Linked DNA regions of Canis lupus familiaris. The protein of the gene in region 1 interacts with the protein of each later gene in a biochemical or structural test. Links are inferred from orthologs where the notes say so. Each region holds a gene or a part of one and is shown in the gene's direction. Other genes may lie near its edges. The genes, in order: TRIM21, USP4 and UBE2W.

The links.
Region 2: of the proteins of TRIM21 (region 1) and USP4, one has a biochemical effect on the other in vitro, tested with the Homo sapiens proteins (2 studies listed by BioGRID). The link is inferred for Canis lupus familiaris from reciprocal best matches to the Homo sapiens genes TRIM21 and USP4.
Region 3: the proteins of TRIM21 (region 1) and UBE2W are reported together in a solved structure, tested with the Homo sapiens proteins (2 studies listed by BioGRID, with this or other methods). The link is inferred for Canis lupus familiaris from reciprocal best matches to the Homo sapiens genes TRIM21 and UBE2W.

Annotation. Positions count from the first base shown.
Region 1 is NC_049242.1:26,900,520-26,904,263, reverse strand, and holds the end of TRIM21 (E3 ubiquitin-protein ligase TRIM21), read left to right. Parts: intron 1-556; coding exon 557-657; intron 658-901; coding exon 902-1,452; 3' UTR 1,453-2,470; downstream 2,471-3,744. UniProt on the Homo sapiens protein: E3 ubiquitin-protein ligase whose activity is dependent on E2 enzymes, UBE2D1, UBE2D2, UBE2E1 and UBE2E2.
Region 2 is NC_049241.1:40,355,207-40,359,718, forward strand, and holds part of USP4 (ubiquitin carboxyl-terminal hydrolase 4), read left to right. Parts: intron 1-427; coding exon 428-531; intron 532-3,523; coding exon 3,524-3,612; intron 3,613-3,982; coding exon 3,983-4,144; 3' UTR 4,145-4,512.
Region 3 is NC_049250.1:22,894,427-22,899,563, reverse strand, and holds the start of UBE2W (ubiquitin-conjugating enzyme E2 W), read left to right. Parts: upstream 1-1,944; 5' UTR 1,945-1,951; coding exon 1,952-2,053; intron 2,054-5,137. UniProt on the Homo sapiens protein: Accepts ubiquitin from the E1 complex and catalyzes its covalent attachment to other proteins.

The DNA of each region.
Region 1 (3,744 bases):
TGCACTGATATTTTCCCCATTCTCCCTATTCTCAAAGACCCAATAGCCCATAAAATATTTTCTGGTCTGAGGCTAATTAGTGAAAACATCAGTTGGTGAGTTATCCAAAGTAATTGGACCATAACAGCTTTATGAAGTGAAGCCCCAACAAAAGGGGAAATTCTGTTCAATCTTGAGTCTGCAGCCTGCTAGGACTCTTTCTTTAAAAAGAATCTAGCTGGTTACAAATCTCCCAGGAAGAGCCATGTGAGACCAGCTGCATGGGCAAGACTCCTTGGGGTTCCTTACAGAAGTAATTCCATCTGTATCAGGTGCCTAACCTGTAAAATGAAACAGAATGTGCTTGCTTGCGTCAGGGGGCTTCAGGGGGCCCATGTAACCAGGAGGGCCTGGATAGGAACTATGTCCTATATCTTCTTGCCTCCCACCCCCAAGGATCCTAACACAGGTGCTTATAAATTTGCATTAAATTGTTACCTACAAAGGAGGTTATAGTGTCAGGGCTCAGGAGGGTGGGGCAGGAGATGGAGACAAGGTCTGTAACTGTTTGCCCCAGGACTGAGGCTTGGAACCTGAAGGAGCTGGACATTACCTCCCCGGGTCTGAGGAGTGTGTGCCTCGTGCCAGGGCTAAAGACGATGCTGAGGACGTATGGAGGTGAGACTAGCCCCAGGAGTGTGGGACTGGGGAATGAAGTGGGTGATGAGGGTGGAGAGTGAGTCCCTGGCAGGTCAGGGTAGGTGAGGCAGGGACAGAGAGGTGGTTCCCTCAAAGGTCAGGCCTGAAGGTTATTTTCTCCCACAGTGCGGCTCATGGTCACCCTCATCCTTACCCCCACCACAGGCCCAGGGCTCCTGCTTCCCCTTCCTCTCCCAGCCTGACCGTGGGCTTCTCTCTGCAGTACACATCACCCTGGATCCACACACAGCCAATCCATGGCTCATCCTTTCAGAGGATCGGAGACAAGTGAGGCTTGGAGACAGCCAGCAGGAAGTGCCTGAAAATGAAAGCAGATTTGACATGTATCCCATGGTCCTGGGAGCCCAGTGCTTTGACTCTGGAAAGGCTTACTGGGAGGTGGATGTGAGAGGAAAAGAGGCCTGGGACCTGGGTGTTTGTACAGATTCTGCACAGAGGAAGGGGCACTTTTTGCTCAGCCCTGGGAACGGCTTCTGGACAATTTGGCTGTGGAACAAACAAAAATATGAGGCTGGCACCTGTCCCCAGACTCCCCTCCACCTTCAGGTGCCTCCATGCCAAGTTGGGATCTTCTTGGACTGTGAGGCCCACACAGTCTCCTTCTACAACATCACTGACCATGGCTCCCTCATCTATACCTTCTCTGAATGTGCCTTTGCTGGACCTCTGCGGCCTTTCTTTGGTACTGGTTTTAATGATGCAGGAAGAAACGCAGCACCTCTTGTGCTCTGTCCGCTGGAGGTGGGATCGTAGGGATCCATGGAGCAGTGGTAGCACTCTCTGAACACCGACTGTTGGTGTCTTTCTCAGCCATTGACTCTGCCCCATTTCCCCAGGAACTCTGAACCACTTTGTTTCTGTAGAGGTGTCGGGATACCAGCAAGCAGATTGTGGCAGGGAATTCACTGAAAATCTACATAAAATGATTTTCAACATCAGTATTGAATGATTACTGCCCTAGATTACTGCCCTACATTACTTTGACTCCCTCCATGAAACAAACTACTTATGTTGGGCCCAAATCACCTGGATCAACCAAAACATGTCTCTGCCATCTTTATGTGACCCAAGTCTTGTTTTCTCCTCTCCATCTCTAGGCCTTTGGTAAGATCTCTTATACACCTTGCATGGCTTGCAAAGGGGACTCCTAAATGTATTGGGTCTTGATCTATCACATTCAATCCTTGTTCTTGTATACATTTAGGATTACTGTTCCAACATAAACATATCAGAGCATAAGTAGCTCCATACCTATTAAAAAAAAAAGAAAGCAGCCATCCTTTAAAAATAAAGCCTGAATGATGCATGCCTTAGATTTCCACATTACATTTCCAGCCCCTGTGCTCCCCCATCCCTACCATGCTCTCCCAACCATGTCCTGTAGATAATGGAGTTGGCCAAAAGGTGTATCAATCTAAATGGAAGGCAGGATGGATTTTTTTATGTCAGTTTGGCTAGGCCATAAGCCCCCAGTTTTTCAATGTTTCTGTGAAGGTATTTTGTAGATGTCATTAAAGTCCATAATTGTTTGATTTTAAGGGAGACTCTCCTGGATAAGGTGGGTAGGCCTAATCCAATCAAGTGAAAGACCTTAAGAGCAGAACTAAAAGTTCACTGAAGACGACCCTCCTACCAATAGCAGCTTCAGCTCCTGCCACAGTTACAGCCTGCCCTTCCTGTTGCCTGGCCCTGTGGATTTAGGACCTGCCTTGCCAAACGCCACAAGTGCATAAGCGAATTCCTTACAATAAATCTCTTCATATTTATCTCCTACCAGTTCTGCTTCTTTGGCAAACTGATTGGTGTGAATGTCAGAACTGCAGTAACAGTATCACCTGTTGATAGCAAACACTCTTGTGTTTAAGCTTTTACAGTTGGAAGAAGTGCTATACACAGCCCTGAGAGTACAGCTATCCTTCCAGCAACCAGAGTGTCTAAAATAGAATCTCAGGTGAAGAAGCTGGGAAGATGGCAGAGGAGGAAGACCCTAAGCTCACCTCATCCCATGGATACAACTAGATAACACCCACATCAGTGTAAATAACCCAGAAAATGACCCGAAGACTGGCAGAACAAACCACAAGTAAAGATAGAAAAGAGGCCACATTGACAAGGGTAGGGAAGGGTGGAAATATGTCCAGGAGCTAGATGGACCACGGACCACCTGCAGGAGTAAGGGATCTGCTGGAGCAGAGAAGGGCAAGAAGCAAACTATCACACCAGGGAACCTGCACAGGGAAGATCAATCCGCATAACCTTTGACTTCAATAACTAGAAGGGCTGAATTTTGTCAGTTCTTACAACCAGTGGGACTTAAAGCCTAGAATTTTAAAATTCAGGTGACCTGGCCTTGGGAGAGCCCTGAGGTGACAGGAAGCTGAGTGCCAGACCTTACAGAGCCCCACAAACAGCCCTTGGAGATATAGCATAGAAAAAGCCACTTGAAAAACACCTAGGTGAGAGTTTCTCATCTCAGAGCAGGCCACCTCCAGAAGACGACTTTTTAAAGTGCATACCCTGCCCATCACTTTGCAGATCTGCTTTGGCTGGCCTGGTCCCTGCCACTGCAGTGGTGGCAGGTCTCATTTCACAAGCAGACCAGCTTGCACCCTTTTAACACCATATATTCCACGTGGGCTGGCCTTGTCCCAGAAGTGGTGGTAGGTCCCATCTTGCTTGCACACTTTGCAAGCATAGTACACTCCACCTCCTCCAATACACTCTTGGCCAGAGCCTGTTCAAACCAGGGCCATGAGCCTGGCAGTGTACAAATAGCCCCAACAAAAGCCAGCACCATTTCAAAGTGACCCTGCCTTCAGGTGAGGGTAAGATAACCACACATATCAGTCAGATGATCAGTCCCAGCAGCAGGCTATAGGCAGACAGTCAGTCTAATTGCTGGCCCCACCATCTCAGGGCATACCACCAAGAAAGCACAATTTGTAGTTTGGTGCTACTAAATCTCGATTAAATGCATGACCTAACTAAATCGAGGCCCAAGGAGACCCCAGACTGGTTCACTAACACCATAGGGGCCAAACTTTG
Region 2 (4,512 bases), on another chromosome or scaffold:
ACAGGAGGATTTGTTGTAAAATTTAACTTCTCTGTGTGTTTAAAATTTTCAAACTAAAATGTTGGGGAGAAAAGTTTTCTGGGGCCTCTTTTGGTATTTAAATTTTTATGGCATCAACTGTAATTTTGATCCTAATTGCCCTTCCTACATAGTTGCTGCAGCCCTCTTCTCCATGCCCAGAGCCCTTCCTTACTGGTGCTAGCTTGGTGCTTGGAGCTAGCCGGGCAACTTCTCTCCAGCCTGCATAGGCCAGTGGTCAGACGAGCCCACAGGGCCCCTGCCACGCAGCCTGGCTGTCCATTCCTGATGTAGTTACTGTTTCTGCTTCCCTGTGTCCTAGCCTAGTGCAGAGAAGGGGTTGCTGGGTTACTCCAGCTGCTTTCTCTAGTTTGATGCAGTAAAGGCCATTTTTGTGTTTTGTGCTCAGAGCTCTGAACATGTCCGAGTTTGTATGTGACCTGTCGGCAAGGCCTTATGTGTACGACCTCATTGCCGTGTCTAATCATTACGGAGCCATGGGAGTTGGCCACTGTAAGTACTGGCATCTGCCATCTCTGACATGTTGAAATGCCTGTGGCCAGTCTCACTGGTCTCTTCCTGTGTGCCAGGCCCTGCCCTCAGTACTTTATCTTTAGTCCTTCAGGCCTCAAGTGTCAAGGTTTCAGGCTTGGTCCAAACTACTGCTGCTTCTCCATTCTTTTTCTTTCTTTTTTGGGGGTAGGGATGGGGCTCCCCCCCCCAGATTTTAGTTTTAAATGGTCTCTACACCCAACATGGGGCTTGAACTCATGACCCCAGGATCAAGAGTCCCTTGCTCCACCAACTGAGCCAGCCAGGCACCCCAGTCTTCATATTCTTGAATCCAAGTAATTCCGACCTCTGGGAATCTATCCTAAGGAAAGTACTTGACATTGGGAAAAAGCTTAATGCACAAAGATTCCCCTATTTATAACAGTGAAAACTTAGTAGCTGTGTTGGTAAGCCAACAGTTGGCACTGCTGTCCACCTACTTGATGGACGAGAACACCGCCATTGCAAAAAAAAAAACAATAAACATGGGGAAATGCCCATGACGTGTTCAAACTCATATCACTGTAGAAGCTCATATCACAACTATATTAAAGCAAAAATCAACGAAACTTTCTCTTTGCTCTACCTTATCTTCCAAAATGTCTAGAATGTGTAGGTTTTTGTTTCGTTTTGTTTTAAACTATTTATTTATTTATTTATTTATTTATTTATTTATTTATTTATTTATTTATTTATTTTAGAGAGAACCAGCACTTGCGATGGGGAGGGACGGAGGGAGAGGGAATCTCCAGCAGACCCCCGCACTGAGTGTGTAGCCTGATGCAGGGCTCGATCTCATGATCCTGAGGTCATGACCTGAGCCAAAACCAAGAGTTGGATGCTTAACCTCTGAGCCACTCAGGTGCCGCTGGACATTTTCTTTTTTAATGAAAAGACTTCGTATATTTTGTTACTTGTTTGTGGAAAGGTGTTAGTGATGCTTGAAGTGAAGAGCTGGGTTTCTTCACATCTCTGCTGCATCTACACCATGACAACTGCCACTACACCCAGTGTTAGGACCCCAGAGATGGCCGCACAGGAGGTTTCAGTTCCTTTTACATTCAACAATAAATTATAGAACTTCCCTAAGCTTCAGACCTCTTCCCTATACTGTGACACTTTTTCTCTCAGCCCAGCAGTCTGCTTTCTCGCCCCTCCATTTTTACTGTATCACCTCATGGCTCAGGATGGCTGCTCAGTGTCTGGCCCTCATGTCTACATTGCACACTATCAGAAGAAGAGAAAAATGGGCGCAGCCTTCCGCCTTTAAGGCAGCCTCCTAGAAGTCCCCCCTCAGCTCTTCTGTGGACATTTCATTAGCTTGTAACTGGGCACGTGGTTACATGTAGCTTTAGGAGAGGCTAGGAAATAAAATTGTGCCTGTTTGAAAGTTGGGGCTCTCCTAGAATGGCTATTGGTGATCCCTCATCACATCATACCCTGCAGCACTTAATGCAGCTTTTTTCCAGAAAAATTAATTTTCCAGAATTAATTTTGGGATCTGTGTTCATGCATGCCAAATGAAATAACTTTTAAAAGTTTTAGTATATAAACATACCACTTGGGCAAGTTCCTTAGCCTCCATATCCTTCGGTGTTCTCTCTCGTCCATGAGATCAGGCTGGTTGCCTGAGGACCCACATTAGGTCCACAGTTGGAACTCCAGGATTGAGAGCCATCATTATTACTGTAATGCCAAATGTAGGGACAGGTCCTTGGCACCTTTTCCTGTGTTCTTCATCTCTGCAGTAGGCACTCCAGTCCTCACTGGAGAGTTAAATGGCTGGCCCAGCGTCATGCAGCAGGTGGAGACTAACAGCCAGTTCTCCATTACAGTCATTTTGTAGAGTCTGGGGTAGAGGGTGGGGTGGGCAAGGAATTACTCATTGCTGCTGGGATTGCTGTTTACAAACATCCTGCTGGAGAATAGTATAAAATCAAGATAGAAAGTGTTGGCTGTGGGGAAGGCTTGGACCACTGTGAGGAATTGTTACCCAGCCACAGACTTTGATTCTCAGAGAAAGATAAAATTTAAGCCATCTTGTTCACATCCCAGCTCTGCAAGCCTGAACGCCCAGTGTATCCCTCACTGGGATTACCCCAGAGACTCTGGAGGCAGGAAGAGGCAGTAGTAGCCATCTACCTGGACCAAGTGGAGTTTGATTTGGTCTGTTCTTTTGAAAGCCATTTTGCTTAAATCTTAAACTTCATCAGCTTTTATGGGTCCTTGGCTCTGGATTATTACTTATAGCCATCCTGAAGATTGATACTGATTTCTCTGTTTGATTAGTTTCCCAAAATTAACAGTTTAAAAAGCCTTGGTCTGTGACAACTCCATTTTTGCCGTTTTTTTTTTGTTTGTTTGTTTTTGTTTTTTTTTTAAGAGTGGGAGTGGGAGGGGAGAAAGAGATGGGAGGCAAAAAGAGAATCCTAGGCAGGCTTCTTACCCAGCATAGAACCTGATGCAGGGCTTGAACTCACAACTCTGAGATCATGACCTGAACTGAAATCAAGAGTCAGATGCTTTAATCAACTGAGCCACCCAGGTGCCCCATTTTTACTCTTTTCAAGAAAGAACAGATTTCAAAAAAAAAAAAAAAAAATTAGTTTATCTTGGTTGTATTTGTAAATTATTCTCTTTTTTTTTTAAGATTTTATTTATTTATTCTTGAGAGACACAGAGAGAGAGAGAGAGGCAGAGACACAGGCAGAGGGAGAAGCAGGCTCCATGCAGGGAGCCCCACGTGGGACTCAATCCCGGGTCTCCAGGATCACACCCTGGGCTGCAGGCGGCGCTAAACTGTTGAGCCACCAGGGCTGCCCTGTAAATTATTCTTAATTTCAGGGCCTATGTTTTGTGTTTTTAGAGTTTTATTGTTTAGTGCAAGTCTAATAAACTAGCCAGATTAGTTCTCTGGTGATTGCTAGAGGTATTTTCTTTGTTGACTTGGCAGATACTGCATATGCGAAGAACAAACTGAACGGGAAGTGGTATTATTTTGATGATAGCAACGTGTCCCTGGCCTCTGAAGATCAGATAGTGGTGAGTAGGCTCTAATACTTGGCTCCTCCTCTTACCTTGATGATGGATTAAAGCTGGGAAGAGCCTCCTGGGTGGTGGTTATTTGGTCATCCTGATATGACAATGGGAGCTGGGTGTAGTAGAGAGTTGACTGCCATTCCTTCCAGGACCCTTCCTAAATGAGAAGCTAGGTTCTTCTCTGGGTTCTGTCACAGGGTACCGGCCTTTCCCCACTCTCTGAGCAGGGTCTCCTTCCTTGTTGCCTCTGTCTGAATGCACAGGGCAAGATGGCAAAACTCTGAGAGTGGGTTTTGAACAGTGAGAGAAAAGCCAGGGAGAGTGGATGGTAATTCCAACCAGTGAATGAACTTTTTCCCCTCTTGTGTTATAGACAAAAGCAGCTTATGTGCTCTTTTACCAACGTCGAGATGATGAATTTTATAAGACGCCTTCACTTGCTAGTTTTCCTGGATCCTCTGAAGGAGGGACAAGCCCAAGCAGCTCACAGCAGGGCATGGGGGACGATGAGGCTTGCAGCATGGACACCAACTGATGCTGCCTCCAAGATCCTGCCGCCCCACAGCACCAGTGTAATCCCCCAGGAGAACATCTTTGACACCCTGAAGACTACTAGTGTTTGGTCTAAAAACCAGATGAGGAAATCCCCTTCTTTTATGAGCAGAAGAAAAAAAAAAAAGACCCTGTTTGCTCAGAAGGGTTATGTCAAGAGGCTGAATTATTTTCTTTTTAAACAGGTGGTGAGAAGTTTTTGTAAGACCTGTAGAGCTGGAATGTGGGGGTTGGGAGGGGGGCTACACAGTGGAGTAAGGCCGATGAATTCCAAAGAATGGAGAGGAACACTGTAATTGAGGATGGTGGCCATGAAGACCTACAGCAGGCTGCCCTGAGTTCCTGGATTTC
Region 3 (5,137 bases), on another chromosome or scaffold:
GGAATAGCTTTCTTCCTTCTTTGGGATATATGGGTGAAGTGTTGACAACACAATTGAGTTGACACCAGATATGCTTCTGGATGATTCCTAATAGCTAAAAGTCTCCAAACATTCCTCAAGGGCACCGTCACTTTGCACAACAAAGAGAATACCAGCTCATTTCTGGCAATAGGGTGGAATTATTTTTTTTTAATTTTTTATTTATTTATGATAGTCAGAGAGAGAGGCAGAGACACAGGCTGAGGGAGAAGCAGGCTCCATGCACCGGGAGCCCGATGAGGGATTCGATCCCGGGTCTCCAGGATCGCGCCCTGGGCCAAAGGCAGGCGCCAAACCGCTGCGCCACCCAGGGATCCCCTACATTAGGGAATTTCCCAGAGAACATAATGATCTATCTTTAGAGTGGGAAGGGTGATATCCTACATTGGTCTTATATTTAAATCTTACAGAAATTTCTAAACAACAGCTCCAAGTTAATAAAACAACAGATTTCAAGCTTTCATTCTGGTAAAGCAAAAAAGCCTTCTACTAGATGTATCAGCCATCTAAATCTTTAAAAGATAGAACACGAGATGCAAGCCTCTGGCTTCCATTTTATTCTTTTTTTAAAAAGATTTATTTATTTATTATTTATTTATTTATGATAGAGAGAAAGAGAGAGAGAGAGAGGCAGAGACATAGGCAGAGGAAGAAGCAGGCTCCACGCAGGAAGCCCCACGCGGGACTCCATCCCCGGTCTCCAGGATCGTGCCCTGGGCCAAAGGCAGGCGCCAAACCGCTGAGCCACCCAGGGATCCCCTTCCATTTTATTCTTAACCAATGACAACTGAAGTTGTCGAATAGCTTTTTTTTTTTTTAAGATTTTATTTATTTACTCATGAGAGACAGAGAGAGAGAGAGAGAGAGAGAGAGAGAGAGAGGCAGAGACAGGCAGAGGGAGAAGCAGGCTCCATGCAGGGAGCCCGACGTGGGACTTGATCCCAGGTCTCCAGGATCACACCCTGGGCTGAAGGCAGGTGCTCAACCGCTGAGCCACCCGGGGGTCCCTGGCATAGCTTTTTAAAAGGTGGCTTCTGATAAATGTTGGCAGAACTGGTGCATTCCAGAAAAAATTCTGGATGCTCACCTCTCCCTACTCAAATACATCCCTAGGTCAAATGACCACAGAACTGCCCACCACGAAACAGGCTGAAGCCAAGTCCAGATGTGACAAAAGGTGTCAAGTGTATACTACAAAGTGCACAGATCCATCAAAACAACAAAACAAAACAATCGCGTCTAGGGTCAAATCCCTACACAGATGTGAATGCCGTAACAACCTAACTATTACGGATACCCGTTTAGTTTAAAACCGAGGGGCTGGTGTAAAGGGGGAAACAACAGCACACGAACCAAAGAAAAACTTTAAAAATGTCTCTTCCCTTTCGGGCAAGTTTCAGCTCTACAAATCCACCCTGGCCCTTAGAATGCCAACGTACTGTTTTGCTCTCCGTCCTCATCCCATTGTACAACGACATGCGTCTTTCTCCCCCGACACTGGGAACACGAGAAGCCTTCCAGACCGTAAAGAGTAAAAGGCAGCCCCGCGGGCAGGGGAACCGCGCCCCAAGGTGTGAATATGGGCCTGGCGCGGTGGAGAAGACGTCCAAGAGCATCTTCCAACCACACCACCAGCGGTTGGAAAAACAAAGCAAAAAGAAAAACCAACGGGGCTGGGCATCATCAAGATGTTAGGGTAAACAGAGAAAAAAAAAAAAAAAAAACCTACGGCCGTCGCCAGGTGAGGCCCGGCGCGGCGGCGAGGGAGCGCGGCCGCCGGAGAGCGCGCTGGGCCCGAGGGTACCAACAGCGCCATTGACCGCGCTCCCGCCGCCCCTCCCCCCGCCGGGGCGCCAGCCAATCCCCTCCCGCCGTCGCCTTCCCACCGGAGGCCCCGCCCCCGGCGCCCAGGATGCTGGGCCCCCGCGGCGTGACGCGAGCACGGCGGCTCCGCCCCCTGCGTCTCTGGCCTCGCCGGCCTTGGGGGGATGGTTCCATCATGGCGTCAATGCAGGTGAGAGGAGTTTGCAGCATCTGGGCGGGCGAGGGAGCCGCCGAGAGGACGCAAGCGTTTTGTCGGGGGCGGCGTCCGGGACTCTGGGGCACCCGGGCGGGTTCGGGAGCGGCCCTGGTGGCCAGTCCTTTCCCGGCTTCAGGACGTTGGGGAGGGGTGCGAGGCGGCGAGAAGAAGGGCGGGGGAGGGGGGGGTCCTCGGGCGGTCGAAGCGGACACCAGCCGGCCGGGAAGTTGGGGGATAAAGAAGGCTGAGAGGAGGAAGGGGTGAAGTTTGGCGTTGGCGTGGCGGCAGTGGTCTCGGGTCGCCTCTCGCTCACACTGACGCTGGCCTGCCCGCCCGCCCCGGGGATGCCTTCCCCGCGGTCCCCGGCCGGGCGGAAACAGCTGCTCTGGCCGTCGTCGCTGGGGCAAGGGCGGCCCGGAGAGGGGCCGGGGGCGGGGGGGAGCTGAAAAGGCGTTCCGGGGACGGCGGCCAGCTGCAGAAGCGCCTCGCGGCCTCTGCTCAGGCCTCCCACGCCCAGCTGCTCCGACCGCTCGGCCCTGCTCTCTTTGACTCTCACTCCTTTGCCCCGTGGGTACCTTCCTCTGTTAGCTTTCGCACCCTCTGCGAACCTTAGTGCGGCAGCGCACTCGCTCTCCCGAGGCTGCCCTTGGCCCTTCAACATCATTTGCCTCCTAAGAGGCAGTCTCCCCGAGATCTGAGTCACTAGCCCCCTTATACCTCCGGGATGGCTCGCCCTCAGATTTTTTTTTTTTTTTCTTTCCCTGCGGTGCCCCACCCTTGTGGTCGCGGTAAAGCTCCAGCCCTTTGCCCTTCTTCCCTAGATCTTTAGTGGAATCTTAGTTTGGTAGGAGGCATTTATTAACCTGTGTCATAGCTGCCTGACTTAGCAGTTCATGGGTTTCTGGCTTTCCAACTTAATATGCTCCTTTTTTTCCAGATCCAAGGAGTTTTGTTTTTTTGTTTTTTTGTGGTTTTTTGTTTTGTTTTGTTTTTTCTTTTTTCCCCCCAGGCAAAGATGGCAACCACCACTGCAGTTTTGTAAAGATTGACTCTGCTTTATCTATAGCCTGCATTTAATTTTACAAATGAAGACTAGCTCTGATGAGAACACCTAGGGAGAGAAGATAGAACTGTTGTTTGGAGTGGCAGCTGAGTGCTTTTTAGAGTTTTAACATCTTAAAGAGACCCACGTTTTTCTTAGGATTCAGTGCTTTTGTTTCTAGAAGAATAAGCAAATCTTCTTATCTTCCCCCACCCTCTGTTTTTGGTTTGTTTTTCATTTCTAGGCGAGAACACTTTTTTCTTCTCTTTTCTGCATCTTCCTCTTTTGCGTACATACTTGCTTCACATTTACTTTTGTGCTTTTGTGTTATCCCCTTTCAACCAGTTTTCCATGCGATATTCTATTTACCGTTGCTGCTGCTTCTGGACTTTCCTGAAGAATAGAAAAATGTCTAACTTTCCTACTTGAAGGGATGTCACAAAACGGTGCAGGGAAAAAACAAGAACAATTTGAGGAAACATTATACTTTACACTGGTCTCCCCAGAGACGTTAGAGAGGTTTCGTCATTTGAGGCCAAAAAAGGAACTGTGGAACACTAGTTGAACAGTAGATGGGCTATATGACTAATTTAAGATAGTTTGTATTAAGATTAAAATAATTTGTTTCAAGACTAAAAATTATGGTTAAACCCACAGCACCTGTGATTATATTTAACAAGACAATTATAGGGATAACTAGTTAGCTGGTTAGATGTAAACTTTGAGGGTCTGAAAAAACAAATTTCCCGGTTTAAGAGAAAAAAGTGAATACAGAATTGGGTCAGTGCAGGACTTAATGTTGATAATCTTGAATTTTACATGGTGACTTGAGCAATGGAAAAAAAAATATTTGCCACTGCAATAAGTGGAATTTTCTGTGTTTTAGGTATTTTCCCACTGCTTGTTTGTATTTTCGAAATATCTGATACAGATATTTCAGATACAGGTTTTCTGACAGTACCTTGAAAAATAATTTTAATATAGATAAATCAAGCTTTTCGAAATTCAGTACTGGTTTCTGTGTGGTTATTCCGTCTTTGGTGAATAAAATTTTTCCTGACCATCTTTATAGCAAAATGTTGTGTTAAAGATTTTATTTTATTTTTTTTTTTAAGTAATCTCTGCATCCAACCTGGGGCTCAAACTCACAACCCCAAGATCAAGACTCTGCTCTACCAACTAAGCCAGCTAGATGCCCCTTAATAGCAAAATTTCACTCTTTTCAAAACAACTGGATTTGTTTATTTACTCAATTATTTTTTAAGGGCCCTACTGTGCTACTAATCAGAGTGCTAGAGATAGAGCAGTGAACAAAAGTAGACAAGGATTTCTGCTCTGGATACAATAGTCTAGTTGGGGGAGACAGATAACCAAATACTTAAGTTAATTGCATATTATATTAGAAGGTGATAATGCTATGAAGGGAAAGCATGGAAGGAGGTTAGGAAATGGATGTTTTGGGGATTTCAGTCAGAGTGCTTAGGAAAAAGTATACATATGCTGCTCTAACCATGTCCTTACCTAAAAAGTTTTCAGATTTCTTTATCTTACGCCAGGTCGTCAGGATGTTATCGCGGCTGAGGAGATTACTGAAGCTATAAGAACTATTTTAAAGACATACAAATTATAGAAATGTAATATAAGATTTGATTACTTGATAAAAACGAAATTAGTCTTGAGAATCAGTAACAAGTAAGGATAGACCTTGGTTTTTTCCTTGGAGAGGATTTTGCAGTTGAGGTTTTAACTCCTTTAACGCACTCTGTCAGTGTCTCCCAACCTTTCCTCAGATGGCGGCACGTAGAAAATAATTTTTGAATCGCACACTATGGTGGACGCACTAAACTGTTGGAGATGAATACAGTTATTTTGGCACATCTGTAATGCTGGGAATGCTCTGCTCAATAATATTGTTAAAGTTGTTCTTCATACAGTTCATGGTTGTGATTTTCAAACTTACTGGAGCCTTAGAGATATTCTTTCTTGGGAACGAAGTCACAAATTACTGAGATTATGGTTAGATGGTGTTTTAAAGT